Linked DNA regions of Tribolium castaneum. The protein of the gene in region 5 purifies or fractionates together with the protein of the main gene of each other region. This does not show direct contact. Links are inferred from orthologs where the notes say so. Each region holds a gene or a part of one and is shown on either strand. Other genes may lie near its edges. The genes, in order: Pfdn2, Polr2H, Polr1C, Polr3F, Polr3B, Polr3K and Polr3I.

The links.
Region 1: the proteins of Polr3B (region 5) and Pfdn2 purify together in Homo sapiens (affinity purification with mass spectrometry; 3 studies listed by BioGRID and IntAct, with this or other methods). This does not show direct contact. The link is inferred for Tribolium castaneum from reciprocal best matches to the Homo sapiens genes POLR3B and PFDN2.
Region 2: the proteins of Polr3B (region 5) and Polr2H purify together in Homo sapiens (affinity purification with mass spectrometry; 5 studies listed by BioGRID and IntAct, with this or other methods). This does not show direct contact. The link is inferred for Tribolium castaneum from reciprocal best matches to the Homo sapiens genes POLR3B and POLR2H.
Region 3: the proteins of Polr3B (region 5) and Polr1C purify together in Homo sapiens (affinity purification with mass spectrometry; 7 studies listed by BioGRID and IntAct, counting the BioPlex papers as one, with this or other methods). This does not show direct contact. The link is inferred for Tribolium castaneum from reciprocal best matches to the Homo sapiens genes POLR3B and POLR1C.
Region 4: the proteins of Polr3B (region 5) and Polr3F fractionate together in Homo sapiens (co-fractionation; 4 studies listed by BioGRID and IntAct, with this or other methods). This does not show direct contact. The link is inferred for Tribolium castaneum from reciprocal best matches to the Homo sapiens genes POLR3B and POLR3F.
Region 6: the proteins of Polr3B (region 5) and Polr3K purify together in Homo sapiens (affinity purification with mass spectrometry; 6 studies listed by BioGRID and IntAct, with this or other methods). This does not show direct contact. The link is inferred for Tribolium castaneum from reciprocal best matches to the Homo sapiens genes POLR3B and POLR3K.
Region 7: the proteins of Polr3B (region 5) and Polr3I purify together in Homo sapiens (affinity purification with mass spectrometry; 5 studies listed by BioGRID and IntAct, with this or other methods). This does not show direct contact. The link is inferred for Tribolium castaneum from reciprocal best matches to the Homo sapiens genes POLR3B and CRCP.

What each region holds. Positions count from the first base shown.
Region 1 is NC_087397.1:2,598,661-2,602,294, reverse strand, and holds Pfdn2 (prefoldin subunit 2), read right to left. Parts: upstream 1,742-3,634; 5' UTR 1,665-1,741; coding exon 1,525-1,664; intron 1,368-1,524; coding exon 1,073-1,367; 3' UTR 891-1,072; downstream 1-890. Other genes in the region: chondroadherin, read right to left, coding at 1-456; Vang (van-gogh), read left to right, coding at 2,491-2,594, 2,644-3,634. UniProt on the Homo sapiens protein: Binds specifically to cytosolic chaperonin (c-CPN) and transfers target proteins to it. Binds to nascent polypeptide chain and promotes folding in an environment in which there are many competing pathways for nonnative proteins.
Region 2 is NC_087396.1:10,332,445-10,337,595, forward strand, and holds the start of Polr2H (DNA-directed RNA polymerases I, II, and III subunit RPABC3), read right to left. Parts: upstream 3,113-5,151; 5' UTR 3,050-3,112; coding exon 2,977-3,049; intron 1-2,976. Other genes in the region: Epp (ecdysteroid-phosphate phosphatase), read left to right, coding at 3,280-3,392, 3,445-3,685, 3,732-3,927, 4,156-4,251. UniProt on the Homo sapiens protein: DNA-dependent RNA polymerase catalyzes the transcription of DNA into RNA using the four ribonucleoside triphosphates as substrates.
Region 3 is NC_087396.1:18,340,786-18,344,941, forward strand, and holds Polr1C (DNA-directed RNA polymerases I and III subunit RPAC1), read left to right. Parts: upstream 1-1,605; 5' UTR 1,606-1,717; coding exon 1,718-1,780; intron 1,781-1,829; coding exon 1,830-2,130; intron 2,131-2,177; coding exon 2,178-2,297; intron 2,298-2,342; coding exon 2,343-2,756; intron 2,757-2,805; coding exon 2,806-2,915; 3' UTR 2,916-2,996; downstream 2,997-4,156. Other genes in the region: N-acetylneuraminate lyase A, read right to left, coding at 1-99, 143-314, 360-505, 553-721, 767-912, 961-1,300, 1,347-1,598; proteasome activator complex subunit 4, read right to left, coding at 3,079-3,213, 3,260-3,469, 3,519-3,955. UniProt on the Homo sapiens protein: DNA-dependent RNA polymerase catalyzes the transcription of DNA into RNA using the four ribonucleoside triphosphates as substrates.
Region 4 is NC_087396.1:20,820,832-20,824,745, forward strand, and holds Polr3F (DNA-directed RNA polymerase III subunit RPC6), read right to left. Parts: upstream 2,004-3,914; coding exon 1,834-2,003; intron 1,784-1,833; coding exon 1,048-1,783; 3' UTR 1,032-1,047; downstream 1-1,031. Other genes in the region: Acf (bromodomain adjacent to zinc finger domain protein 1A), read right to left, coding at 1-9, 66-413, 549-661; mRpL40 (large ribosomal subunit protein mL40), read left to right, coding at 2,092-2,126, 2,175-2,252, 2,297-2,666, 2,709-2,822; Alg12 (dol-P-Man:Man(7)GlcNAc(2)-PP-Dol alpha-1,6-mannosyltransferase), read left to right, coding at 3,159-3,284, 3,327-3,459, 3,507-3,680, 3,731-3,884. UniProt on the Homo sapiens protein: DNA-dependent RNA polymerase catalyzes the transcription of DNA into RNA using the four ribonucleoside triphosphates as substrates.
Region 5 is NC_087398.1:9,957,759-9,962,974, reverse strand, and holds the start of Polr3B (DNA-directed RNA polymerase III subunit RPC2), read left to right. Parts: upstream 1-1,725; 5' UTR 1,726-1,868; coding exon 1,869-1,919; intron 1,920-1,973; coding exon 1,974-2,128; intron 2,129-2,176; coding exon 2,177-2,353; intron 2,354-2,421; coding exon 2,422-2,710; intron 2,711-2,758; coding exon 2,759-3,081; intron 3,082-3,225; coding exon 3,226-3,469; intron 3,470-3,519; coding exon 3,520-3,720; intron 3,721-5,216. UniProt on the Homo sapiens protein: Catalytic core component of RNA polymerase III (Pol III), a DNA-dependent RNA polymerase which synthesizes small non-coding RNAs using the four ribonucleoside triphosphates as substrates.
Region 6 is NC_087403.1:7,843,907-7,847,358, reverse strand, and holds Polr3K (DNA-directed RNA polymerase III subunit RPC10), read right to left. Parts: upstream 1,334-3,452; 5' UTR 1,249-1,333; coding exon 1,108-1,248; intron 1,057-1,107; coding exon 871-1,056; 3' UTR 868-870; downstream 1-867. Other genes in the region: Plekhm1 (pleckstrin homology domain-containing family M member 1), read right to left, coding at 1-173; Tcs1 (threonylcarbamoyl-AMP synthase), read right to left, coding at 166-867. UniProt on the Homo sapiens protein: Core component of RNA polymerase III (Pol III) which synthesizes small non-coding RNAs using the four ribonucleoside triphosphates as substrates. Can mediate Pol I proofreading of the nascent RNA transcript.
Region 7 is NC_087399.1:3,366,291-3,369,930, reverse strand, and holds Polr3I (DNA-directed RNA polymerase III subunit RPC9), read right to left. Parts: upstream 1,556-3,640; 5' UTR 1,455-1,555; coding exon 1,447-1,454; intron 1,395-1,446; coding exon 1,283-1,394; intron 1,226-1,282; coding exon 1,073-1,225; intron 1,028-1,072; coding exon 902-1,027; 3' UTR 806-901; downstream 1-805. Other genes in the region: DENR (density-regulated protein homolog), read left to right, coding at 111-206, 253-514, 564-703, 760-804; ATP synthase mitochondrial F1 complex assembly factor 1, read left to right, coding at 1,556-2,392. UniProt on the Homo sapiens protein: DNA-dependent RNA polymerase catalyzes the transcription of DNA into RNA using the four ribonucleoside triphosphates as substrates.

The DNA.
Region 1 (3,634 bases), on a different chromosome or scaffold from region 5:
GAAGTTGAAACTCAAATCCAAATGAGTTATTTTTGGGTTTTTTTGGAAAATTTCGTCACTGTCGAGACTTTCGATGTTGTTGTGACTCAAAACTAGGATTCTCAGGTTGGGAATTTCGGCGAAAAAGCCATAACTGATGAAACTAATCGCGTTGTAAGATAATTTCAACGTTTCTAAGGTCACACTTGAAAATCGCGTTTCGGTTGCGTCCAGTTTTGTGAGTGAGTTGTGTGATAAGTCGAGCAGGTTGAGGTCTTTAGGTAGCTGCTCTGAGGTCGGGAAATAGTCGAAATTTGTTCTTACGCAGTCGGCTTCTGTGGCAATTAAATCTTCGCTGTCGGTGATGCGTTTACAGATACAGTTTTTCTCTGCTTTTCTTACGGAACATAGCTGGTTTAAGGCCTCGTTGTGGTAAAATAATAAAGAAAAAACAAGAAGGAAACTAAACTTAAACATTGTCTCACTAGAACAAGAGGAAAATCTTTTATCAGTTAACTTATCATGATGTTTTTTCTAAACTGAGTCACTTCACATACTGACTACTGATATCTAGAGCAAATAGGATTTAATAAATGATTGGTTTATTATTTACTATCTATCTTTTTTTTATCTTAGATAATACTTATATTGTAATTTAATTATATAATTAAACCAGTTTTTTTTAATGTGGTGAATATTAAGTGCTTTAATTTATTAAAACTTATTAAGGCTTTCATTTGAATTTTTTAGAGAAATAATTTAAAGTCATGGTTAGGCAACCAATAATACAGCCACAAAAAACGAAAGAAATTTAATTGTTTTTTTTTGTTGAATATGCAATTGAGATTATAATTTATTGGTGCTTACGTAATTCGTCATTGGGTAATGGGGGTAAATTAATAAAAAACCACTTACAAATTAAATTTTTATTCGGATGAAATATGTTACATTACCTTGCAAAAAACCAGCACAGCTCTCATAGAAAAAGATGAATTTGTTAAATGCCGACCAAATTCGAATGAAATACATAAAATAAATATTCTACAAAAGAAAAATCCTAGCTTAGGTGTAAATAAAAAAAGCACATGCATATTTAAGACACTAAAACATTTCCTCTACTCTCTGAAGCCGCCACTTGCTCCTCCTGTTTCGGGGCCGGATTATCCAACCCTCTAAAGCTAATGTTATACTTTTCCCTGTATTCATTAATCTCCACACCTTTCTTCGTGATTTGTTCTTTCAACTTTTCAATAAGTTCTTTGAGTTTCTCCAAATTCGCAACAAGTGCCGGAAGAACGTCCTTCACTTTTCGCTCAGTTAAAACCCCCCCGACTAGTCGGAAGCAACGCCGGTCTTCGTTCACGTTTTGTAAAGTGGCGATGACCATTCTGTAAAAGCGAGGTTATGTAACATTTTACAAAAAAACCGGCAACCACGAAAAAAATTTCATTTCAAAAATGAAAATTTACTCAATTTTGAGTAATTTGCCGTGGGTTTCGCCGCCACAGCCCCACGTTTGGGGCCACAACCGGGCCGGAAACTTACTTGTGTTCGTTGGAATCGGCTTCGAATTCCGTCAGTTTTGATGAAAGGGTGCGCTGCTCGGCCCTTAGCGCTTGAAAGCCGTTCAGGATCTCCTCGGGCGTGAGCCCTTTGGACGATTTCTTTTTCGAATCACTTGCCATTTTTGGTAAACATAAATCCGGAATTTGAGAAATGTCACTTTGTCATGGTCACGTGACGCAGCCACATGATGTAAACCTGGCGGAAAGAAAAAACCAAGCGCGTTTTTGCCAATTTTGCGATAACCAGACAATGTGGATTTTTTTTCAATTGAAATTTATCTTCCCGGGTCTAGACTACGTCTATTTTTTTCCTCGTCTCGGTTTCTTTGACTGAAATTCATTGGAAGGAATTGCTCTATTTAGTGTTTTTAGTCATTTTTGGTTTACACGGTAGCCATGTTGCAGCCATAATTTATGGGGCAATTAAATTGCTCCTAAACGTAGGCGTTTACATTTTATAAACTCCGATTTAGTTTTCAGTAAATTTTGAATAAATTTGAATAAAAAAGCATGTGTGGAGTGTCGGAGGGAATTGGTTACGTGTGTGGGGAAAAAACGGTGCGTGTTCCAAGTGCCGTTTGAGAAAAATGATCCAGTTTTATTAGAAAAACGCACACAAGCCGCCGCACTAATTTAAATGCAATTTGTAAACGATTTACGCAACTCTTACGAAACAAATCCCAAGAAAATGCATTCCTCCTGAGCGAAACGAACCCCGGAAGTGGCCTAAGGCTCCAAATAACGGAAATTGTTTGGATTTTTTATGCACAAATACATGTTTACGAAATGTCATCAACGTGAGGAGTCATTGAACTTATTAGTGAAATAATCAGGATTTTTGACGAGAATTCCCGCAAAAGTGTTGATAAAGAACCACTCATGACAGTTTCTTGCAAAAAAAATCCGGCTTTTGGGAAAATACATGGGCAACGAAACTGGACGAGATATGGAGACTGAATCCATAAAATCGGAAAACAGTTCACGATCGAGACGTTCACGGGGGCACCGCGACCGCAACAACTACCGACAGCACTCCCACAGAAGCACCAGGTTCGTGCCCAAACAATTCTGGACCATCTTGAAAGTAATTTTTTTACAGAAGCTCCAAGTCTCGCAAAAACGACGAGATGGCGCCCTTCCAGACGGCCGTGACCCTCACCCCCGACAACCGCGACGGCCAGGAGGTCATCGAGGTGCAAATCCTGCCCCAGGACGACAACTGGGGCGAGAACACCACTGCCATCACCGGGAACACGTCCGAGCAGTCCCAGTCGACCGAAGACGTCAGTAACTGGCCCGGTGAACCTGACACCGGGCTCTCCTTCGTCTGCCAAAGATACATGGGGACGGTGCTAACGTACATCCTTTCAATAGTTGCCTTCTTGAGCCCCTTAGCCATGGTCGTATTGCCAAAACTGGGGTTCTTCCCTGCGCTGTCCTCGCGGCTGGGACTCGCAGACAGCGCGAAATTGTTAGCTTGCGGGGCCGAATGTAAAGGCCAGTTGGTGTCGTTGGCGTTCAAAATGGCCATTTTGGCGGTCGGGGCCTGGGCTGTGTTCTTGCGCAAGCCGAATGCGACCTTGCCAAGGTTTTTCCTGTTTCGGGCGGCTGTCCTAGCCTTTGTTTTAGTCTGTATTTTCGCCTATTGGCTGTTTTATATAGTTCAAGTGACCGAGACTGCGCGTGCCGCCACCACACCGGAGGAAACGGTGGATTATGAGGCCTTGGTGGCTTACGCCTTAAGTCTGACTGATACGCTACTTTTTATCCATTACTTGGCTGTAGTTTTGATGGAGATCAGGCACCAACAACCGATGTATTACATCAAGGTTGTGCGGAGCCCCGATGGCGCTAGCCGCGCCTATGCCATAGGCCAGTTAAGCATCCAGCGAGCGGCTGTTTGGGTCCTTGAAAAGTACTACACTGAGTTCCCCATTTATAACCCGTACTTGGAGCGCATCCCGGTGTCAAAATCGCGCAAAAACTCCTCAAGTTTCAAATTTTACGAAGTGGATGGTGTTAATAATTCCTCCTTGCAACAGTCGCAGTCACGGGCGATGTTGGCGGCGCATGCACGCCGACGTGACTCG
Region 2 (5,151 bases), on a different chromosome or scaffold from region 5:
AGGCTAAAAAAACTAAATTCGTGCTTTACGACTGGTCTTATGTATGAAACTTGTTCTTTCATATACCATTATTTTTTTATACGTCGTCCACCAGGAAGAGGTCAATAAATTAATGAAATTTTTACAGTAGTCTCTATGAGTGATATAAACATATACATTTTTTTGAGTTGTTGTTTTTAAATGGAAATACCTTTAACCCCAAGAGCTAGAACGAACCACTATTTTAATGTTTTTGTTTAATAAAAACCACTCCTTTAAAAATACTGTCTTTAAATTTATAGAAAACACACAAAATGAAAGGTCAGATGTAATTTATAGTTTTTTATATTACTTTACATTTAATAGTAATTTGTAGACTTATAGAGAGAAAACGATTGACTGACTTATCTCATTATTCTGCTGAACAAATGTTCACAAATTTTCGGTGTTATAACAAAATTGTTTAATAACATCTAAATAAACCACTCTATTGCAAAAACAATTATTGCATTTGAAAGAGAGGGACTTTATAGCATACGTTTCTATATTTTTCTCAAAATGACAAAAATTGGACATATTTCGTTATAACATTGAACAGTGAAGACCCCATTTTTCACCTGTTAGAACCATCCAGTAAGCAGGCATGTATGACTAGATTTTTTAAACATAATTTAGGACCACTGGCGTTGTGCCACCAAATTTTCTGTTATTAATAACTAATTTGTGTTCTTTTCGTTACATTTAATCAAGTTACAAGTTGTTTTGTGGCTAATTATTAATCTTTTTCATGGATAACATCACAACATCTTATTAAATTTGAGTAAAATCAAAAATTGTCAACCCCCACTTTTTTTTCGCAGACCGACACTAAAAATAAATTGTGACCAAAAATTTATTCAAAAAGACCTATGCTTTCAATAAACACTAATAATAGTAATAATACAGAATAAAAACAAAAATTTTCACTTTTTGTTACAGTGTTATTACCTGTAATATTTTTAACTAATTTTTACTGGAACAACTGATTTTCTTTTTCTTTTTAACAATTTAATTTCAATATGATAGAAACAAAAATAAATCGCATTTTTATCATTTTGAAATGTGTAGGAGTACTTAATAAAATGTATTAACTTGGAAAATTCGAAGTGTAATATTTCTAAACGTCGGTTTAATTTTTTACTTTGTATTTCTTCTCTTTATTCATTTCAGTTCCTAATAACACTAGTTTACAACGTTTTTTGCCAATAGATGAAACCAATGCGTATCGGTAAGTCTAATACATTCACTTAATGATATTTTAAAGCAAATAAAATGTTTAACAATTAGTTCATCACAGAAACAACGGATGCTAAATTAGACACCAGAAACCAATTTTCAAAACTTTTAGTGAACATTAAAAAAAAACTAGATGTGATAGAAAAATGTAACATACAGGATGTTTCAAAATTGACAAATTCCGAGGTCAGAGCGTTGTAAAGAATCACTTCACTAGACTAAATGTAAAAACAAAATAAAGATTCGGAACTTCCCCACAAGGATACAGTGGTTTGAAGGTGCACGTCAGCTCACTTTGAATTGCGTTTTCTTCAAATGAAGGCTAAAAATTTTTCATTATTTTCATTTTTATTACTTATGATGTAGATGATTGTGGAAGATAATAATGTAAAACAATATTTCAAAAAATCAGCTTCATTTTAGAGTAAAAAATTTAAATTTTTGTAATTTTTCTTAAAAACAAAACGGCAAATTAAAAAAATTAAGATTTTAAAAACTCCAAAATAATATAAAAAAATAAATATAAATATAAAATAATAAAGCTAGTTTTTTGAGAAATCGTTCACAGTTATTATTCTTCACAATCATCGTCACCACAAATAAGAATAAACACTGAAACATATAGGCTGAATTAAAAAAAACGCAGTTCAAAGAGTAATCTTCAAACCAATGTATCTTTGTGAGGCAGCCCCGAATATTTTTTTGTTGGTAACATTTGAAGCCTTCTTTTTAATATCTGAATCCTAGATTTTAAACACTATTTTAAAACGCTTTTCCCATAGCAACGTGTTTTCATTTAAGTTCAAATATTCCAAAAAAAAAAATTTAATAACACTCATGCGAAAACGCTTTTAAAGTTCTCGAACTTTAAGTTTTTGTTTTTGCTCCCGTATTATTAATAACTCTTTTCGATGTTTGGACTACTAAAGCAATTCTCTACAGTGCTCAGAACTCGGAATTCGCCAATTTTGATACACCCTAAATGTTTTTTTAATACTGTGTTGCCAAATAGCCTGTATATTTTTGTTATCAGTGAGTAAGTAGAAAACAAAATTACCTAGTAGAAATGATTTCTTAGTAAAAGAAAAAAAATTGTAAACTAGTGTAATTAATATATCCATTTATTATCCCAGCTAGAATGCTCTAAACCCCTACGTGTTTCTTAATATGTATTTTATTGCTTTTTGTATTACAATTAATTCATGTAATTCATCAGTCTTCACAAATGATTCAAACAGCGAACAGTTTTAACAAAAATGGGGGCCGGCCCATGTCACCCATACACACCACCTACAAACCACACAAGTATTAAACAAAAATTAATACGTTAAAAAATTATTAGTATAAAAGTAAAATTTTGTAAGACTAATTTTGCATAATTCTATTAATATAAGTCCTTCAAGTAATTAATTCTAACCAAAAAAAATCTATTCTATCTGCCTGTTTTTATTGGTTTTATTCTTAATGCATTAAAAAAGACCAATCGATGCCACAACTAGGACACAGGTGGGGGGGTATAACCAATATTTAGAGTAGGACGGTATTATCGTATTAATAACCACATACACACGCTTTCCAAATTCAGAGGTAAATGAGACAAGATGTAAACTTTAAATACATTCAAAATTTAACACAATTTCGAGCAATTTTACGAAACGTTAAAACATAACCTCAAAAACGCCGGTCACACATCCAAACAAACAGACGATAAAAGCCACTTACCTCGATCAAATTTCTTTCCCTCAGGATCAATATCTTTCACGTTGAATATATCTTCAAACAGGACACCTGCCATCGTCGAATAACGTGTAAATAATAAAAAATTAACACACTTTAATACTTTCTTATGAAAATGGGCAAATTTTGACAGACATCAACACTTGACAGTGTTCCAACCAGTGCCGCCATCTGAAAGGCCAATTCCCCAAACAAAACCAAAACAAAAACGTCACTGTTTAAATGTCAAAGGTCCACTAGAAGTGTCAACACCAAACTTTAACCTAGTTGAAATTAATAATTTATTAAATGAAAATGGCAACACTACCCCCTAGGAGGAACCCCACACCTACAAAAATATCCAAACAGCACCTGACCCCGCTACAAATCCTCCTCCAGATGGGGTTCCCCAAACACAGAGCGTGAGTAAACAAAATGATAATAAACTTTCGGGTAACTTGAAATTACACACAGCGAAAAGGCCTTAGCTGCCACTGGTAACAGGGGCGTGCAGTTGGCCTCCGACTGGTTACTGGCCCACGTAAATGACCCATTGCTGGACGATAACTCTCCAAGGGAGTACATTTTATATGCGTGTCCCACGGGACCTTTCCTGGAACAGTTACAGACCTTCTGGGAGAAGTCGCACAGGGAATGCGCCTGGAACGGGGCCCACAATTTCACGCCGCACATTACGCTAGTTTCGTTTTTTAAGGTATTTCATTTGATAAATTTTGAATTCGTTTAATGATGTGTAACAGGCGCCTGATGAAGACGCCCTACATCTGGCGCAAAGCCTAAAGTCCGTAATGGAAAGGCAGGGCGCTATGTTGAACGAGCCCCTAAAACTAGAAACGTATACTTCTCCAAATTTTATGGGGTTTTTTGTGGCGGAGGAGCACGCTGATTATTTAAAAAGGATTGCCATGCAATATGTTAAAGAAGTTTCAAATGCTAGTAAGTCGATTTTTCTATAAACCAGTAGATGGGCATGTTTGTAACTTTGTTGGTTTTTGATTACCAGAAAAATATTTAGATAATGATTGGTCCTTATTATTACTAATCATGTTTTCTCAACATTGTAAATAAATTGATAACGACACATGCTTGCATGGTAATCAAATTACTTGTAGTTGTTCTTAATACTAGCATGACAATCTGGCTAAAGGTGGTGGTTATTTGCAGTTATTAGTGACACATACGAACATTTCGATGCTCTAACAGCCTGTTTTCCGTGGTGTACCACAACAACTGCTCGTTGCATTCCTCGGGGAAGTAGATGTAAGCAAATTGTAGTTTAGTGTAGTTTCCTCTAGATAATTATCATTTTTTTGTATTTATTTTCTATTAAAAGTTTGAATTTTTACTTTGCTTTTCCTTTTGTTACTAACATTTATTTATCCTTTTACTGAAGTTGCTGGTTTACTAACAGTTTTATATTCTCTTACCTATCATTATCCTAACATGTGAATTAGTTACCTTTTGTCTTTTGTTTTTGAAGTGTCTGAAAGAGAAATACAGCCACCATTAGTGGTTTGAGTCTTTATACAAAGTAAAAGTCATCTGCAGGAAAGTTCACCTTTTATTGCACATTTGATAAAATGTGACAGTAGTTAATGACCGATATTGAAAAATATGTTGCGGAATGTGTTTGTTTATTCCTTGGTTTTATAAGAGCTTTATAAGTCCGTCAGGCGGTGGCAAAATATTTACCAGTCCTTACCGATAAAACCTTTGGAAAAAGTGTCTTATATTTTTTCCATTTATGGAATAAACCTGTGATTAGACCAAAAGTAAGTACGATTATTGTGCATTGTCATTACGAGTATGTTTTCAATTCAAGAATTTTAGACAAACTTGCTAGTGATTAATCTTGATTTAAAGCAAATACTTTTATATTTTCCTTATGCGGACAAGGTGAATCTGCTTAAAATTTCATCTTAGTAGTAATTGTGAAATTGGCCTCATTATGTTCTTAGCAATTTTTCTCCAAAAAACTACTTTGTTAGCAAAAATCTACAAAAACATTTTTAAAAAACATATACATTATACTTTGACGATGGATCTGATCTCTTTTAATATGTACTGTATTATGTACGAAAAGCAACAGAAATTTAAGGAAAATACATCAATAAAGTTTGATAATTAATTATTATTATTTTCTATTTTGATACTAATTTT
Region 3 (4,156 bases), on a different chromosome or scaffold from region 5:
TCGTGCCTTCCCATAACGTCTGCAAAGGCTCTCTGGTGGTTGTGCCGCAAGTGCTAGTAATGATGTCAGTTGCAGCCTTTGAGGCCGCTATGTAGTCGCCTAAACAACATATTAAACCACGTTAAGCGGACTATTCTTTTACCTTGTTTCGCAATCACATCTATCGTCCTGTTGAGTAAATTCTGTGACGTTTGGGCGCTTTTTATCTCCCCTTCTCGCACAGCCACACAAATGGATTCAACCAGTTTTGGTAAAAAGTTCAGACTTGTGCCCATAATACACGTAAAACCGCTCGCAGCAGCCCCCAAAATTGCCTAAAAGTGGAAATTAAGTGGGAGATATGGCCATAAAGCCCCTACTTCGTCGGTGCCCATAAAAACGGTAAACTTTTCCCTATTTACCGCCATAGCAGCGGTGCTCTGTTGTATATCATTCGTGCTATAAATGACGCCTACAAACGAATCCACTTCTCCCGTTATATCCAGCAGAAACGACGTAATATCAACTAAAAATGAATTTTTTCGTGTCTTGTTCATCGTTCGAAACGCTTACTTTCAACTTGCGTAAACTTGGGATTGTGGTGATAGAGAATGGGGACGTTTTTTGTAAATTCTGATATTAATTTTATGTACTTGATTAGGTCTAGGTGGTTTTTTGGTTTGTTGTAAAGGTCGGGGAGGATTACAACAGCGCCGATGTCCCTCTTAGCGGCGTGTTTTGCCTACAAATGAAAAATATTAACAGTTTTAACAAATGTTTAAACTACCATTTCTATAACGTCTTTGAGGGGGGCTCCCCCGATTTGTGCCATCAAAAACTGATTTGTTTTTTCACAAGCGTCAGCCCACGCGTCCGCCAAATCTATTCTTTCATGAATGGTTAAGGACATTCCTTCCCCGGTTATGTCATTAACTAAAATTGACCATTTAATTTAATTCATTTTCTAGAGTTGCGAAATACTTAAAATTCCTTTAATATTGCAAGCTTTTAAAAAATTTGCGTATTTTGGTATAGCCTTAAGGTTTACATCAGGTGTCACTCTTTTTAAGTTAGTAAATGGGGTAAAGACGGGGCACAAAAGCCCCCGAAATTTAAATTTCTGTGCCTTGAATGCAGGCATTGCCGCTTTGAGGGCATGTTTCTTTGACGACATGTGTTTGTGAATGTCGGAAATCCCGCATCTGTAATCCTTTTTACAGAATTTGCAGTAGAAATACGTATTTCCATGTATGCTCTCTGATAACCATGCTTTCAATTCGGGTTTATTCTCCCATTCTTTTTTGTACTTTGGTATGTATTTCTGCGGGAAGGTGGTTGGTTTTTCATTTGGTGTACTGGTGACTTACCTTCGAGTTACTGTCTCGTGATTTCTTTGACGCTGGTTCAAGATTTTCGTCTTTTTTGTCGTCTTGTTTCTCATTTTCTTCTTCGCTGTCTGACTCTTCTGGCACAAAATCGGCAAACAGAGCCTTAGCCGTTTCAGGTGTGCTTATTTGTGAGTCTTTTTCAGCCTTGCTTTTCGTGTTTGAAGCTTCCTGTTTGGAGCATTCGGGTTTCGTCATATTTTTCAAAAATTGTTTATATTTTTCACAAAACATAACCTAAAAAGCTGACATTTTAAGTGGCTTTTGGGTGGTAAGGACGGTAAGGTTGGTAGTCATTTTTACGAAAAACGTGCGTTGTTTGAGGTTATCCAAGTTTTTGAAACAAGTTTAAAATGGATAATATTCTGAATGACGAAAAGCCTCGAGTGATTTTAGGAGAATATAAAGTGACGCAGGTATGTCCTTTATTATTTTGTATTAAATTCCTTCAAACATCCTTTGAAGAATTTGCCCTCGGAACCAACTGTTTTGGACGAGAAATGGGACTTGAAAACCTTTAAGAAGAGATTTAGGGTGGTGATTGTGCGAAGTGAAGAGAATGAACTCGAATTTGACTTGATAGGGATTCACCCGTTCCTAGCAAACACTTTCAGAAGGTTAATGTTGAGTGATGTCCCCACAATGGCCATTGAAAAGGTTCACATTCTTAATAACACGTCTATAATCCAAGACGAAGTTTTGGCCCATCGTTTAGGCCTGATACCGCTAAAGGCCGACCCCCGATTATTTGAAATGAAAACTGATCGTAAGTCTTGTAATGTTGCCGTTCCAAACGTTACAATATTTTTACAGCAACTGCTGAAGGTACCGAACAGGATACTCTAGAGTTTGCGTTAAAAATTAAATGTACCAATAATAAAGACAGCAGTAAAGACTCACTGCGAGCTGAAGATATGTACAAAAACAATAATGGTAATTACCCCGTTTGAGAAACAATAAAAATTGCAATAATTTTAGTGTATTCAAAACACATCAAATGGGTGCCCATTGGTAAACAGAAGGAGCGGTTTAGTGACGTGGGCCCCATCCACCCTGACATTCTCATTGCCAAAATGAGGCCAGGCCATGAGTTAGATTTAAAATTATTAGCAGTCAAGAGCAACGGGCGAGACCATGCGAAATTTTCTCCTGTCGCAACCGCATTTTATCGCCTTCTTCCCGACATAAAATTATTACGAGAAGTGGAAGGTGAAGCAGCTGAGAGACTCCAAAAATGTTTCTCTCCCGGTGTGATTTCAATCCGACATGAAAAAGGCCGCAAATACGCTGTTGTAGCTAATGCGAGGTATGATACAGGAAGTCGGAATGTTTTCCGTTATGAAGACCTCAAGGACGCAGTAGCGATGACCAAAATTCAGGATCATTTCATTTGTAAGTTTTTTTTTATTTACTTTTTCAGTTTTTATTAATTGTAATTTAGTTACGGTCGAATCTGTGGGGGCTTTACCACCTGATGTGATATTCATGGAAGCTGTTAAAATATTAAAAGACAAATGTCTTGCTTTATTAGATGAATTAAGTCATGTATAAACATTTCACTTAATATACTTTTATCAAACCACAAAAAATATAATGAACAAGGTTAAAAATAAAAAACATTTGACGCGTAAATTTTTGCTACCTTAAACCTTCCTTCACCTATTGTCTAGTAAAAAATTAAATTGTAAATTGACTGGAATCGGAAAATTATTGCCTAGGCGTAATAACTGGGAGGCACTGTGAGATCACTTAAAACTAACAGTTCTTCCTCAGTAAATTTGAGTTTGTGGATTTCCCAGTTTTCGTGATGCGTTCGCTTGAAATCTCCCAAGGTTTTGCGAATTGTTGCCTAAAAATTATTAATTATTTTTTTAAACGACGAAAGTGTGACTCACAGGAATGGGTTGGGGGTCGTTCAAATGGGGTCCTAATTGTCCAAAAACATCCGGTAAAAAGTCAGGTACGTCGTATGGATGGCTATTGATAAAAGCACACAAGCCCAAAACTCCAGCATGTCTAAATCTTAAAGTACTAAGATTCAAACTGTTTGAATTGTTCAAATTTTTCTTCTTCAATTTAGTTTTCGCTTTCTGTTTAAATTGCGCCTAGAATTCACGAATTATTTAACGATAAACTAAGAACCCGAATAATTACTAATAATTCTTGAGGGTTTGGAATAAATTGGCAGTGCAAAAGACCGCTTAAAACTTGACTAGCACTAACTCTAACTTCAGGTTGAACATCTTCGAGTAGTTCTAGCACCATGTGTTGTATATCTAGTACCCACTCCTTTTTCGAAATAATCGTGGGCATATTGTGGAATACAAAACCGGACATGAATTCGGTTATAACCGCACGAGCCGACCAGAACGGACAAGTGGCAACTTTTCTTATTGCTTCAAGGGCCGAAGGCATGTATTTGTCAATAGTTATGGTGTAGGCCAAAACTGCGAGCAAACTCGAGCAAATTGGGGCGATTTCGTCGTCGGTGTCGTTGCTTTGAAGCACACACGACAGTGGCAAAATCTCGAAATATTCAGGCAGCGTGGAGTAGTTCATTCTTACAACACTCGATGTCACGTATTTTGAAACTGAAAACATGCCTTTTATTATTGCATCCTGACTGATTACATTACAAAACAAAACATTAGAAACAATTACAGAATCACACAAGGCTCCGATTTTCCAAATAACAATTAAAAGCCTAAAAACATATTCTTAAATAGAAAAATTAAACCAGTGCCGATTAGTCATCGTACAGTCACATAACTGCTATCATTTTTGGTGGATGC
Region 4 (3,914 bases), on a different chromosome or scaffold from region 5:
TTGGTGTTTCTAACGGTTTGTGATTAAAATGACGCAATTTGGCGTTTTAGTATCAGGGGACTTACCCGTTTTTTGTCGGCGATTTGGTTTGTTTGTTTGGGGGCGGTATGACTTGTAGCACGTGCGAGTCCTTCCACTTGGTTTCCGTGAACGAGGTTTCCACGTTTTCGCCGATAAAGTACCTGTCTTTGGTGAACAAGTACACGTCTTCGGCCATGTCAACAAAGGACGTCCGTTTTGTCTGACTCGCCAAGTACAGGAGTGGTATTTTGAGCTCAGCTGGGAACTCTTTGAGGCTTTTCCTCGCGTTTTCCTCGCTTTCCAGCGCCTCGGCATACGTTAAATTCGGTTTTCCCGTCATCGCACATGTCCAAATCATCGAATTGCACAGGAACATCCTCTCGGAGAAGTCCCTGAAAAGCCAAGCGTTGAATCGATTCCGATCTCCGATTGCGTTAAATTTGAGGTCGATGGCGTAGGTACAGTGGACCGTTAGGTCAAGCGTTTGAAAGCAACCACGTTCCAAATAACCCGCCGCAAAAACTCACTCGTAATCCCGGAAAATCTCGTTGGTGGCCCCACAGTAGAAAACTTCCTCGTCATCGCGGATATCCTCCGGGACCGGCGCTTTTTCGAAGGGCTTTCTCCTCAAAAGAGGCATCGCAATTTGGAGGGAAAACTCACGACTCCACAACAAGTCTAATCAGAATTGCTCCCACATTTACAACACACACAACGCAACACTGATGGATTAGCAACCAAATCTGACATGAAATGGCGAGATTCAAAGCGAACTAACCGAAAATTTCCGCAATAAAATTGCGTTTCTCACACCATTCATGACAAACAGACAACCTCTTCGGCTTCGGGGCTCCGGCGCATGCGCGGAGCGCAGGTGACTGCCAAAAGCTGTGCCCAAGAACGGACATTTAAAAAACCTGCGACCACCAAAATGTTCCACACTTTTTTGTGGTTATGTTCCCCCACAAACATAACCTTAATTAATTAATACGGGATAAAAAAAACACCAGTTTGTTGCGAAACACTTTATTCGAGCCATTCCGTGAAATAATTACAAACTTTCGGGTTAATAAAACCGGTATCGGCGCACCTGCTGGCTATGGGGCAAACCCCACAAGTGGTTGTCACAATGCCAGGTGTTTGCATAAATTTATTGACCGCTCGGTACAAAAACGAGCCGTTCGTGGCCACAATCCGCTCCGCGTTATTATCCAAAACAACAGTATACAAAATGCTCTCAATATCGTCCACTGACAGCGAAATTTTACTAATCCCCAGCTCGGAAATAAATTTGTGGACGTCTTGCGCCGTGGCGTAGCTCCGGTTTCGGGCCAGGAGCGGGCCGCCCCCCATGCTGTTCGCATCCTCCCACTTCTGGCGCAAATACCGGCAGCACTGTTGGCTCAAAACGTCCACAAACTCCGACTCGAAGTCCTGGTCCTGGTACCAGGCGCCCCCCGTGACCGAACTGTCGGCCTCCAAGTCGTACAACATGTACACTTTTTTCTTACTGGCCGAGACTGACTTTACGGCTTTGATTATTTTTTTCGTCTCGAGACTTTTGAGGACTTTGTTTAGTTGCGTCATGTTGAGGTTGGACTTGAAGCGAATGTCTCGAATCCAAATGCCCTTGTTGCCAGCCTCTTCGATTATCTTAAACACGACTTTTTCCTCGTTGTCGGCCCCCCGAATGGCGGGCTTCTTCGACGAGTCTTTGTATTTGTAGAGGAGCTTGTCTTTGGTCTTGAACAACTCCAAGGAACTGAAAATTTTGGTTAGGAATAGAATTAGGGGGTGATTGCGCCCACGAACCCATTTTTTAAACACTTGTTGATTATCAGGGCGAGTTCTTCGAGGGGTAAATTAGGAATTGCCTGTTTTATGTTCTCGTTTGAAATCCCCTCAGGCTTGGCCTTGGCTAATTCCAGTAAACGGTCTTCGTTACTTATCTCTTCGCTGTTTGAACTCGTAGCTTGGCTCATTTTTGGGGTTATGTGAGGTTATGTTCTAACCTCAAAATTTTGGCCTATTTCTATTTTTGCCGATTTTTTTTAGGAAAAAAGGCAAGAAATGAGCGCCTGGTCTTTGATAAACACATTTAATAGGTGTGGTATAAGTTTGGAGTAATTGGCACTAACTGTGACATTTTTTAGGCTAGCCCTCCAGTCGTGCCCAAGACGGGGAATTGCAACGAGTGTCTTTCTCAATTTTAGGGCAACACCATGTCTCATGTAAGTAATAACGAAACGAGGCCCCCAATTCACCAATTATCTAGGGCCGAGCCTTTGAAGAAGAAGAAAAAACTAGACCCTGCAGTTATTAAAGCACGAGAAGACCGCAAGAAGAAGAAAATTGAGAAGCAAATCCGGCGATTGGAGAAGCACGCGCGCCAGTTCAAACCTATCGAAGAGTGTGAAGTGCCCCTCACTCTGTTAGATGAGAAAAAATCAAGGATGAGGTCTTTGCCTGCACTTTCTGACAGTGAATTGGAACAAAGAGCACTTTTGGACAAACAATGGGCCACTTATCGGAAAAATGAGCATCTTACGGACGTCCAAATGCTGGACCGGATTTTCTTTGCGCAACAAAAAGCCTTGGATGAGCTGCGGAAAGAGTCGGAGGAGTTGTATCAGGAAGCAATGCAGGTGACTGGGGCTTTTTTTCGCAAAATATATTTTTTTGTCCAGATTGATTTCAGATTATTGCCCTTTAAGAGCGAGGGGCCTTTGGAAACGCCAGCTATCGACAATTACGAAAGCCCGGACGGTGATTATGCCGATGTTTCGAAAAAATGGGAATGAAAAGGAAATAAATAAAGTAGGATAATAATAAATAGACAAAATTTGTTTTATTCACACTTCAAAATCACTTCAAATTCACACTTTTTATTATTGTTTACGTAACAAATTACGTGTCCGACCGTTTCAAAATAATAAAAATTGCCCCTATTGTTGGTAATTTGATGGTAAAATTGTCTCAAGGCGCCCTAAACCCCAAACCCAGCACAATGATCCCAGTTCCGGACCGAAGAGATAAAATAAATTTAGCTTATTTACGTCAGCTCATTTGAAATTGTAGGTTAGGTGAATCTATTTTCGTCCAAAATTCAAGAATGTAGATAAAAATTAGCCCCCGAAATGGTGCAAATAATGCTAATTATCGCCGCCGCCCATTTGGTATACTGCCCATTTACCAAAGTGGAGGAAAGCTTCAATTTACAGGCCATGCACGATATTTTGTACCACAAGTGGAACCTGTCTCAGGTAGGCGCCCCTTGTCTCGCCCACAAATAACTGTGTTTCTAGTACGACCATTTGGAGTTCCCCGGAGTGGTGCCGCGGACGTTCATCGGCCCCTTGTTCATTTCGATTTTGGTGGCCCCCATAGTCTCGCTTTTGCAGTTGTTCGAAATTAACAAATTTTGGGCGCAATATATCGGTAATCAAGTTGAAAAATAGTACAAAAATTGTGATTTTTTATTACAGTGCGGTTTGCTTTGGGGGGCTGCGTTATCGCCGCTTTCCACGTCCTGTCCCGCACTTTGGCCAAGATTTTCGGGCCGAAGTGGCAGCTGTGGTTCATGGCAGTGACGGTGACCCAGAGCCACTTTATGTTTTACTTGAGCCGGCCCTTGCCCAACATTTTCGCACTGCCGCTGGGTAAAAGCCCCCATCTCCCTTGATTTTAATTATTATACGACCGGTTTTAGTGCTCCTTGCGTTGAATAGTTGGCTCAAAGGCGACAGCAAACAATTTATTTTGCTTTCGGGGGCCGCTATTATCATATTCAGGGCCGAACTGGCCCTCTTCCTCGGCCTACTCCTACTGTACGATTTGATCAATAAACGAATCACTTTGAAACGGTAGGTCAGTAAGGCGAATAAATCACAATT
Region 5 (5,216 bases):
ATATTAAAGTTGCGTTCCAAGTTCATTACTACGATTTTTGGAATTTGTATCTATAGATGTTTTTTATTAGAGTAATTTGATTAGTAAAATTTTTCGCAAATAAAAATTATTTTGTGGTAATTACAAATTAAAAAAATAATGATTTGTTAAAGTGCAATGCTCATTAGGTGACTATAATAAAATAAATAAAAATAAATCATTAAAACTGTTCTAGCGTTCTAAAGTGTTTTTTTTTTTATTTTTTCAAACACAATAGCAATGCCAATTAATTGTGAACACCATCAGTAATTGAACTTTTCTTTGTCATTCTTAATAAGTTATTAATTTTATCACCAACGAGCTTAGGAAATGTAATAGACAAAACTTTTTATTTAAAAGAATACTCATTTTTCCCATGTTCCGTTCAAATAAGCTTTGTTAGGAGGTTGCACAATGAGTGATAGTAAAAAGAATTATACAATTCACACAGTATACTCGTACATGTTACTTCTCAATGTTCTCATGTTCTCACAGAATTCATGTTTTTTTACAATAGATATACTTATTTCGTCTTTTGATATGTAAAGTAAAAATAACTGCTAAAAATAGTTATTAATAATACGAGTGCGAAAACACAAGCTTAAAGTTCGAGGGCTGTCGTTATGCAACGAGCGTATGCGAGAACCCGGAACTTTAAGCGTTTTCGCATAAGTATTATTAAGTTTTTTTTGTTGGAACATTTTACTTTAAAACACGTTGCTATGAGAAGCGAGTTTTAAAATAGTGAAAACATTAATTTAAAACACGTTACTATGGGAAGCGTCTTTTAAAATAGTGAAAACACGCTGCTATGGGAAACGTGTTTTAAAATAGTGTTTTTCTATTTCGGTTTCGTACTGAGGTCACTTTCATTACGATACGCGATTTGCGTATCGTAATATCCAACGGAGTTCTATAATAATTACACTAAAACCAGGGTAATTTATTTGGATAATGTTTACAACCTAGTTTTCTGACAATCATTTGTTTCAAATGTATATTTTAATCAAATAAATCAAATATGAACCTTTAGAGGCTCTTGTACCATACATGATTCAGTGCAAGTAAGTAATTTGAGATCTCATATACTAATATAGTCTAGGATTCAGATATTAAAAAAGGCTTAAAATTTTACCAACAAAAAACATTTTTTTAATTTACCACTTATAGAAAACTTTGTATATAATGAACTGATTTTGATGCATTTTCTGAATATGTTATAACTTACAGCCGGATTCCACTGTATTTTATTTGCTATTTTAGATTGTTCAGTAAGTTTTTATAGGCAACCAATCATACGATTTTTCGAACGGAGGCTTCTTTCGTAACAAAACACGGTGGCAAAGTTTCTTTTCTAAATCTGACGTCCCTTAAGTAGCATATCACCTAAAAATGATTTTTTTTATTAATTTTAATTTTTTATTAATGACAATAAATTTCATGGCAATGTAAAAGTATACTAATTTCACATTACATTATTTGGATTTTTATCAGTACTTACAATTTCAAAGTACCCATAAAAAATTATGTAAAGTATTTGTGAAATCTGGTCTTTAAAACACACACTATATAAGTATATAGTATAAGACTAGTATATATAGTATAAAACTATAGTATATTAAAGTTAATATACTATTAAAATTTTGAAATTTTTAATAGTTTTTGCAATCGTGTTTTAATGCAACCGAAAAAAACTCAGTTCGAAAAACCGTATAATTGGTTGCCTGTACACCCAACTCTCTACACCACATAACCTACATGTTTAACTTCACATTTTCAACATGTAAACAAATAGTTATTAAGCGTAACAGTGATAAACTAATTAATAAGTTGCAACAAAAAGCGCTGAAATGGATTTTGACGATCCCGCCCTTCTCAAAAAACCAATCAAAGAAATCGAAGTAATTCAAGTTTCAAATTACAAAACCTAAAAGGTATTCAAAAATCATTTTTAGGAAAAATGGAAACTAGTGCCCGCCTTTTTAAAAGTCAAAGGATTAGTAAAGCAACACATTGATTCGTTCAATTACTTCATCAACGTTGATATTAAGAAAATCGTGGAAGCCAACAACAAACTAGTTTGTGATGCCGATCCTTTATTCTACGTCAAGTAAATTATAAGGCGCTTTATAAGTTTGGTTTTATCTTAATTTCGTAGATATACAAATGTTTATGTTGGACGACCGGACGTTGACGAAGGCTTCAACATTAGCAAACCTACAACCCCTCATGAATGTAGGCTGAGGGACATGACGTACTCAGCCCCCATTTCCGTAGATATTGAGTACACTAGAGGCACTCAGCGGGTATCCAAAGCTGGTTTAATGATTGGCAGGTAATTTATTAGAAAAATAAAAAAAAATATTGTAAAAACACCAATAATTTTTTTAAATAACAATTTAGAATGCCAATTATGCTCCGTTCCTCCAACTGCGTCCTCACCAACAAATCCGAGTACGAATTGGCAAAAATGAACGAATGTCCTTTAGACCCCGGCGGCTATTTCGTCGTCAAAGGCCAAGAAAAAGTGATCTTAATCCAAGAACAGCTCTCCAAAAATCGAATGATAGTTGAAGAGTCCAAATTTGGGGTCCAATGCGCTGTCACCAGCTCCACACATGAGAAGAAGTCGCGAACCAACGTCGTATGCAAGGCCAACAAGTACTACCTAGGACATAACTCCCTAACTGACGTAATTATTTTGTGCATTCATCGTCAAATTCCCAACAAATTTTTGCAGTTAGTCCCTGTTTCAATCATCTTCAAAGCTTTGGATGTGACAAGTGATAAAGAAATCTGCGAATTGATCGGAGTTGAGGATATTTCTAAACTCACTCCAACGTTAGAGGAGTGCCACACTTTAAAAATTTACACTCAGCTGGGGGCACTTAAACACATAGGTTCGAAATTAGTAGCTAAACGTTACGTGACGTCTGCTAGCAAAATGAAAACGCCAGTTGATGAAGCGAGGGACGTTTTGGCGACCACTGTTCTAGCCCACGTGCCTGTGGAAAACTACAATTTCAGGATGAAGGCCATTTATTTGGGAGTGATGGTCAAAAGGTAAATAAAAAAGTCAGATCATAATCACCGGGTGACAAAAAATTGAAATTTTAATTTGGCAACCCTGAGTATAAAATTCTCTTGTCAATTGTCTGAGTGTTGCCAATTTCAAGGTACAATATTTAACAATTTTTTGTAAAAAAGGGTGATTGAGGCACAGTCGGACAAGAAATTCATGGATGACAAAGACTACTACGGCAACAAGCGTCTCGAATTGGCCGGCTCTCTCCTTTCTCTTATGTTCGAGGACGTTTTCAAACGCTTTAACTGGGAACTAAAATCCATCGCTGAAAAAACCATCCCAAAAATCCGAGCGACTCAATTCGACGTTGTCAAGTATATGCGCTCGGATCTGATCACCAATTGTCTGGTCTACGCAATTTCGACGGTAGCCAATCACAAATCGCCGCGATTCGGCTTCTGATTGGTCGGTTTCAGGGCAATTGGACCATCAAGCGATTCCGAATGGAGCGTTTGGGTGTGACTCAGGTTTTGTCACGGTTGAGCTACATTTCCGCTTTGGGGATGATGACCAGAGTTAATTCGCAGTTTGAGAAAACGAGGAAGGTTTCAGGACCCAGGTCTCTGCAGCCGAGTCAGTGGGGAATGCTGTGTCCGAGCGATACACCCGAAGGAGAGGTATATAGTAAATTTTGTTTGCTTTTTTATACATAATATTACGGAGCAAATTAAATTCTCTGACTCTTTTTTGTCTTACGCCATTTAGTTCTGTTTTTATCATTGATTGTCTAGCAATAGCGTTCGCACGTTTTTAAATTGTGCTCGTTGCTCGCAAAATGCAAACACTTCAGTTAAAACCATACAACAAAAATTGATAGAATAAAGTAGCTGTTTGGTGATTTTTTTATTCGATCGGTGAAAAAATTAAAAAAAAAATTCTCGATGTACTTATAGGGAAAAACGTTCTATTATACACGTAAAGAAAAGTTGGCATTATCTGCTCGTAATTCCTTTCAGAAACCCATCACTCACAGATAATGAACAGCTTTTCTTTACTTGTATAATAAACGACTATTTTTTAACGATTACCAATCTGGTCAGCTGGAATAAGTATTATTGGTTGCATATTTATAGAAATTCAGAATAACTCACTATTGATTCACCCTGTATAGAAGTCTAACTTTACTAATAATTAAGCTACAGAAGACGGGAGCTGAGCAGGGTTATCCTGTATGAATGATTTGTATAAAATTTCCTTTTTTTTTGTTAATACGACTTCTTTACCTTGTCAGGCTCTGTTGAGCAGAGTTTAAAACATCGAACGCAAGCCAATGCTGTAGTTAATATAGTTATTAATAATACGAGAGCAAAAGCTTAAGCTTAAAGTTCTAGAGCTGTCGTTATGCAACGAGCTTATGCGAGTGTAATTTAACTTTTTTTGTTGGAATATTTTAATTTAAAACACGTTGCTGTGGGAAGCCTTTTTTGCTAAAAATTAAGATAGGCAATATCTATAGTCAAAAATTTTATTTACCAAAAAAAAATTCATAACTCGAAAACTAAAAGTCGTAGAGCAATGCGGTTTGTTCCATTGAATTCAGCGGCTTATTTTGCGTATAAAACCATCTTTTAACAAGATGTAAACTTTTAAAGTTTTTTGCTAAAAATTAAGATAGGCAATATCTATGGTGAAAAATTTTATTTACAAAAAAAAAAAAATAATTCATAACTCGAAAACTAAAAGTCGTAGAGCAATGCGGTTTGTTCCATTGAATTCAGCGGCTGATTTTGCGTATAAAACCATCTTTTAACAAGATGTAAAGTTTTAAAGTTTTTTGCTAAAAATTAAGATAGGTAATATCTATAGCGAAAAATTTTATTTACCAAAAAAATTCATAACTCGAAAACTAAAAGTCGTAGAGCAATGCGGTTTGTTCCATTAAATTCAGCGGTTCATTTTGCGTATAAAACCACCTTTTAACAAGATGTAAACTTTTAAAGTTTTTTGCTAAAAATTAAGATAGGCAATATCTATAGTGAAAAATTTTATTTACAAAAAAAATAATTCATAACTCGAAAACTAAAAGTCGTAGTGCAATGCGGTTTGTTCCATTGAATTCAGGGGCTCATTTTGCGTCTAAAACCATCTTTTAACAAGATGTAAACTTTTAAAG
Region 6 (3,452 bases), on a different chromosome or scaffold from region 5:
ATACACAGCGTGTTCGAAGCTTCGGTAACATCCTCAGCTTTATTGAGTCCATTTTCTTCAACTCCGCAATACTGTATCGCTTTCACACTATTCGACAAGTGATCCGTGATCGACTTCTTAATTAAATTGTCTTTATTACTCGACGTGTGCACACTTTTAAACAACTTATTCATGTTTGTTAATTAACCCGAACTTGTGCAAAATCGCAACAGTTTTATCAACCGCAATACCGTGTCGCACGATTGTGAACAAACCGCATTCTGATAAGTCAATAACGGTGGACGCACGTCGTCTCGAATCGTCAAGTCCTAAATTACCACCGTCAAAAACTGCACCAACCTGAGCCCACAAGTCTTGAAATTCGTTGATTGTTAACGAACTTGGCTCGTTGCTTAAATTGGCACTTGTGAGGGCCAAAGGGCGTCCCAAACCGCGGGCCAAAGCCCGAATAAAGTGATAATCGGGGATTCGAATCCCCACTTTAGCGTTAAAACTGAGTGACTTATCAAGTGTGCTTGCACTAGTCAGAATGACAGTCACTGGGCCTGGGAGCAGACTTTCGAGCAAACCTTGGGGCAAGTGCCCGATTTTGGCCCAAGCCTTCACCTGGGGGACGTCCCCGAGACAGATCGCCACAGGTTTGGCTTCGTTGCGCCCCTTAATGCTATAGAGTTTGTTAATTGAGGTTATGTTCGTCGCGTCACAGGCAAGTCCGTAGACGGTGTCCGTAGGGAGGGCGATCACGCGGCCCGACTTTAACAAATCAACGGCTAAAGCCTCAGCATGTGGGTCCCTGATGGGGACGTGCAATGCCATAGAAGCCCGCTTCGGGGAGAGTTTTTTGAAAAGGGGGGCGAAAAAACGCATCGCCTACTCTCGCCAGTTGTGGGCGCATTCGGGGTTGCAGCAGCGGTAGAAGTTGGTCATGGGCTCGTCAGCAGAGCGGGTCTGGACCTGGAGGAAGTAGGCGTGGGGGTGGCTGCATTCTGGACACGTTTCCGCTGTTACGTCGCAGTTTTTCCAGGCGTCTTCGCCGCCGAGCACGTCATCAACGGACTGAAAGCGTGACGGAGTTGGAACAATGATAGTGGGTTATTTGGGTTTTACCTTCACTTGGAAGTACGTGCGATTCGAGATTTTTCCACGAATGGGGAATGACACGGGGCAGATGCGACACGCAAAACCTAATCGGCCGCAGGTCTGTTGAGCGAATAGCAAATTTCCACAGAAAGGACAAAACACAACCATGACCCGTGATTATTATGATGAAATTCAACTTGAATTCACATGTGTCAAAAATTGACAATGACAGCGCACGGTGGGTTGGCAGCGCTGGGGCGAGGGCACCAACACAAAATTCGTATTCTATTTTATTTAAATTATAAATTATAACAAATATTCAGCCACTTACGGCCTTAGTTATTTTGTCAACTAATTACTTCACTAATTTGCTCCGCTTTTTATATAGTCGAATTAAATAAGACATATTTTCAATTAAAATAAACAAGGACAATTTTACAATGATTAATTTAATTTAAAATAATATGGTTCAAACATTTTCCTATACCACATTACTTAACTAAGTAATAAAAAAATTATAAGAATTACAAAGAAAAATAATTAAAAACGTTGTGTTTTATGGGTTGCCTATACTAAACTCGGTGGTATTGAGCACTTGGTTCATTTTGTTAATTTCGTTTTAAAGGTTTTGATTTTTATCTCTCTCGCTAAATGAGAATTCAATATAATTTTTTCAATTTTCCTGACAAAAAAAATAAACACTATGGTAATTGGTTCAAAATCATTAGGATAATTTACAAGGGCCGTAGCCAGCGTAGGGCCCCACAGGGCGAAGCCCTTCCTAAACAAATTTCAGGTCATACGTTTTATAAAAATTTAAATAGAGAAGTTTATAATATTTTTTTTTCTTTCTTTGTTATTACTTAAGTAAATTTTGAAATAGACATCATTTTAGCTATTTCAAAAACACCATAAACATGGATGTTTTTTATTTTTTAAAGTTGAAGCGACAGAGGGTCATCAGATGGACATGCAACATCAAGTATGCATTTTTTTTTTAAGAAAAATATATCTAGTAATAATTATTACTCCACTTGGATTTTGACTTATTTTTAGCAAAATTTAATAACAAACGAGAAAGGAAATTAAGCTTTATGAATTATGTTAGGGGAAATACCTACAAAATAACATACATCGTTTGGCAAAAGTATGAAGCTAATTGTTATGTGCCTAAACTATGTACTTTAAGAAAAACTAATTATTACATTATCAACTACTTTAAAAATATTTTTTTAATTCCTTTTAGTTTTCGATTTTTTTTTCAAATAGCACCCTACTACGGCAATTTATTTTTATATTATATTTATATTTTTTATATTATTTATATTTTGTTTTTCTTCGTTTGTTATGTATTTTTGATCCTTTATAAACTTCATTAATAATAATTTACCAACATGAGTACATTTAAATTTTCTTTGCCCTTCTATTATTCTATTCTACGAGGGTGGGATGATTAAGTCGTGGCCTCACATAGAAAATAATAATTTGGCCAAACATTTTTTGCTTTACTTTTCACTATAACCTCCTTCTAGTTATGTGCACTTGGTCAATCGGTGTTCCGAAGTCTTTATCCCATCCTTATGGGTCGATTCCGGTAACTCTTCAAAAAAATTGCTCTCTATAAGAGACCACGAATTAATCCATCCTTGTATTGATAATTCAGGGAGAAATAAGCCTCATTTAAAAAAAATACAAAAACTAATTTTTGACACTACAGAAGCGATATGTAGAAGATTTCTTATTACAGTTGAAATACTCAATACAGTCGTTCCTTTTTGATGTTTGATCATTGATCAATGATCATATTCTAACTCACACAGTGCACATTTCCTACAGTGCCGTACTGAGCCTCGGATTCGTGGAACACGGGCCCGGGTCCCGATGGCCCTTTCCTTTGTCTAAATACAAATTAAAAAAAAAATAAAAGTTATAATATTTTTTATTAGCCGTTAAAATTAGATTAGAAAGACAAAAAATTGTTTTGTCTGCTTATGAGTACCAAGACTTTTCAATCTCCCCAGAAAAAATAATTAGAAACGGTGGATTTTCTTTATATTACAGTTACACAGGTATAATACCTACCCAATAAATTACAATTGCCTAAAAACATCAGGTGTACAAACTAACATCAACGACTTCAATGTTTATGAATAAATAACTTTGTTAAAATTGTCAACAATTAAAACAATAACAGTCAAAGTTATACAATTAAAAAAATTGATGAAGCTCAAGCTTTTAAAAAAACATTGGGAACGTTTGAATCGATATTTTTGATTGTACTATAAAAAGTAAAATATTACAAATTATAGGTAGATGTTGTATTTAATTTATTACTAAGAGAACAATGAATAAACTTCGCAAACAATTTATTG
Region 7 (3,640 bases), on a different chromosome or scaffold from region 5:
AAAAAATAGTGTCAGTGCTTAGTGAATCAGTGTCGCCAACGCAAGATCTACACGACCGTGTCTATTTTGGGGTTAGGTTTGTTTCTCAAAAATTTCATTTTTTGGCCATAATGTCGGTGGAAGAGAAGCTCCAGATGGGCCCCAGAACGGGGGTGACGTACCCCTTGCAAGTGATCTACTGTGGCAACTGTTCGATGCCGATTGAGGTTAGTTGTCGCCCCTTCAGACCTTCCGAACTAATTCTTGCCCCAGTATTGCGAGTATTACCCCGAGTATGACAAATGCAAACAATGGCTCGAGCGTAACTTGCCCGATGAGTTCGAAAAAGTGAAAATCGGGGACGAGGCGGGCGAGGGAGGTGGCGCTGAAGAGGAAAAAAAGCGTCAGAAACGTGGGGGTAAAGGCATGATCAAGACGAAGAAGAAGGAGGACGGGCCGAAGCAGGTGTGTGTGTCGAGGGCCCCCCGCGGCAAGAAGAAGTCGGTTACCGTGGTTACGGGGCTTAGTGGGTTTGGTAGGGGGGTTAGGGGGCCCTGAGTGTCTTGTTTGACGCGTTTTTGTAGATATTGATCTGAAAGTTGCGGCGAAATTTTTCGGGACCAGGTTTGCGTGTGGGTCTTCAGTCACAGGTGAGGACGAAATTGTGATCCAGGGGGACGTCAAGGACGATTTGTTTGATGTGATTCCCGAAAAATGGCCAGAGGTACCACACTGACCGAAAAAAGTCACTAGTTATAGGGGCACTTGTTTTTGTTGCAGATTGATGAGGACTTGATTGAGGATTTGGGTGACCAAAAGCGATAACTTATCATAAATTCGTGTATTTATACTTATTCTCAATACATTATGTCGTTTTTCACGCCAGTGTTTTATTATTTACTATCCTAATACAATCACAAAATTATTCCTGCTCCTCTGTTGTTTCGTTTTCTTGGCTTTTTTGGATGTGGGGGAAGTGCTGAAGCACGATCTGTAAAATTTGCTCAACTTGTTCTTCCGTGAGCCTTTCTTCACTTTCTTCAATCATCTAGAAAACACACTTAGAAATAGTCAAATTTTGCGTAAGACCAACCAATTGAATCTCTAAAGCCGTCGTAGGGGGCGAATTAATCAGCATTAATTTCTCATTTTTGTTCAAATTAAACGGCTCCAAGTCCTTCAAACACTCAGTAATTGACTGTGGGCTTTGTTGGGCACAAGGAGTATTTTCCAAGTAACGCAAAGTCTACGAAAAAATTGATGAATGAAAGTCGGCCCATTTACGGCCACTTAATCTAATCACCTCATACGTAATCGTCGCTAATTGCCCCTTGTGTTTTTTCCGGCTGTCCTTAATCCGTTGTAGGTGTTTCATAACCTCGAAATTACTCAAAGTCGCGCTGTTTGCATTAACACTGAAAACACGCCTTAATAATACGTTACTCAAACGTAGCAACTTAGTCTTACATTTCCATCGCATTTAATAATAAAATTAAGAGTGCAAATTGCTTTATTTTTATAATTTTTGAACCACAAATTGGTGACAAATCCAAAAAACCCTAAACTTGTCACAAGTATGGCCAGGCTTCCTAACCTAGCTTTTTTGCGATATTTTTCAAAATACTCCTGTAAATTCGTAAGAGGTCTGATGACGACCCAATCGCGGTGCGAAAAGGCCTTGGACGAGCTTTCCAAAAATGCCTACTACGAGAAATACGCGGACAAAATCGCCAAACTACAAAAAACCTCCCCCCAGGAGTTCCTCTCCCGAATGGACGAACTCAAGAAGGCCAAAGCCCCGAAAAAGAAGCCCGAAACGATCACTGAAGGCAAGTTCTCGCAACTATTAAACCCGAAAAAACCGCTCGGTTCTGTGGAGGCCTCGGAGGCCCCCTTAGACAAAGTCATGAAACTTGACTTAATTAAGGATAAAACCCCGGAGGAAATTAAGGAGATTTGGCACCAGTACCACATACAGAAGAACTACATTGCGGCGGTTGTCCCTGTGGAAGATTACAACGAACTGGAGGCAAGGGGGCGCCAATACCCTACGTTTCTCTTCGCCTTGCCTCGCAAAGAGGGTTACGAGTTTATAATGTCGCAGTTTGAGCGAAACTGCGTCCACTTTACCCCCCTTTTGTACTATCAGGTGCACAAGGAGAACGCCCCCGAGTGCCTCACAATGACGCACTACACCGAACTAAAGGACGAGAAAAAAATCGTCTTGATGCGAGGAGAGTACGACAAGAATGTTATTGATTTGAAGGAGGCCCAGTGTCTCGCAAATCAGTTGCAATTGTATTACGTAAGGCCCACAGAAGCACACTTGGAACTGATGGAGCGGTTCACCAAGCGCCCCGACGAGTTCAAACACATGGACTTGATCAAACAAATCGAGACTTTGTCTTTGTAAATATGTATTATTTAATTCCTAATTGTAAATAAAGTTTGAGTGACATAACCTTACTTTTTGAGTTTTATTTCACCCAATTATTTTCTTGTCCCCAATGTTGATACATAAAGTCGATCATAACATAGCAAATGGCACTATGAGTATGAAATTGAGCGTTTTTTCTTGAATTTTACTGCGAAAATATGACATAACCTAATTTTTTGTTGGGCGAAAATTGGACCAATTTCAAATATTATGATAACTCAAAGGTCCTGTATAAAATGCGATTGTGCGAAATTGCCCAAATGATAGAAATTTTGCCGATTTTTATATTTTATTACCGCTTTTCACTATTTACGTACCAACCTACCAAATCCAAAATTTATCATAACTTGATTTTTTTAAATTTTTATCACTTATTTCACTATTTTCCAACACAAAAGTGCGTTATATTAACTTGAGTTACGTTAAAAAATCGAAAATAACAGTAAGGTGGTACAGTTCACGAACTACGGGTCTGTATTTTCTGACAGGCGTACCAACGCACCCAAATTCAAATCCAAATAAAACGCCATTTTACTTAAAATAATTTATTGAAATTAGGCACTTGATTGAGCTTAGAACCTCTCTTTCGGCTTCCTGAACACTTTCCCGTGCTGCGTATCCTCCAAGCAGGGGATTTGCACTAAATTAAAATAAATGGTCCCCATAATGTGCGCCGTGGGCGAGGGATTTTCCTTGAGACACGAATACAGCTGATCGTCGCACAAACAATGCGATTTCGTGTATAACGAATCATTCGTTATGTTATATCTTTGTGAAAAAGCCCTAACTTTAACGGGACACAAATCGTGCGCTCTGCAGCACTTATCAACGGTGGGCTCGGCCCCCAGGTCGTAGTAGTCCTTGGCGATGTCGCCCGTGCCGCACCACTTCGTCCCTGAAATTGACTGTGTTGGGAAAATTGGGTTGGTACGACTGCCGGGGATTACCAGGGATGATGCCGCTGAGGAGGACAAACGGGTTGTTGGCGAGGATTCCCCGGCCGGCGATTGGGTGCGCGGTGATGTTTTTGGCCAGTTCGTCGTGTACCGATTTGCCGTCTTCGACTTGTTGGCATTGGCGCATTAGTGTTGTCATTTCTTTGAAGGAAATTGCAACGGGGCGGGAGACGTGCTGGAAGTCGCCGAGGGCTTTGATGGCGTCTTCGGGTTGGCTAGGAACGGAAATTTTCACTGTTTTTTTCGCAAACAACCGCAAAAAATGTGA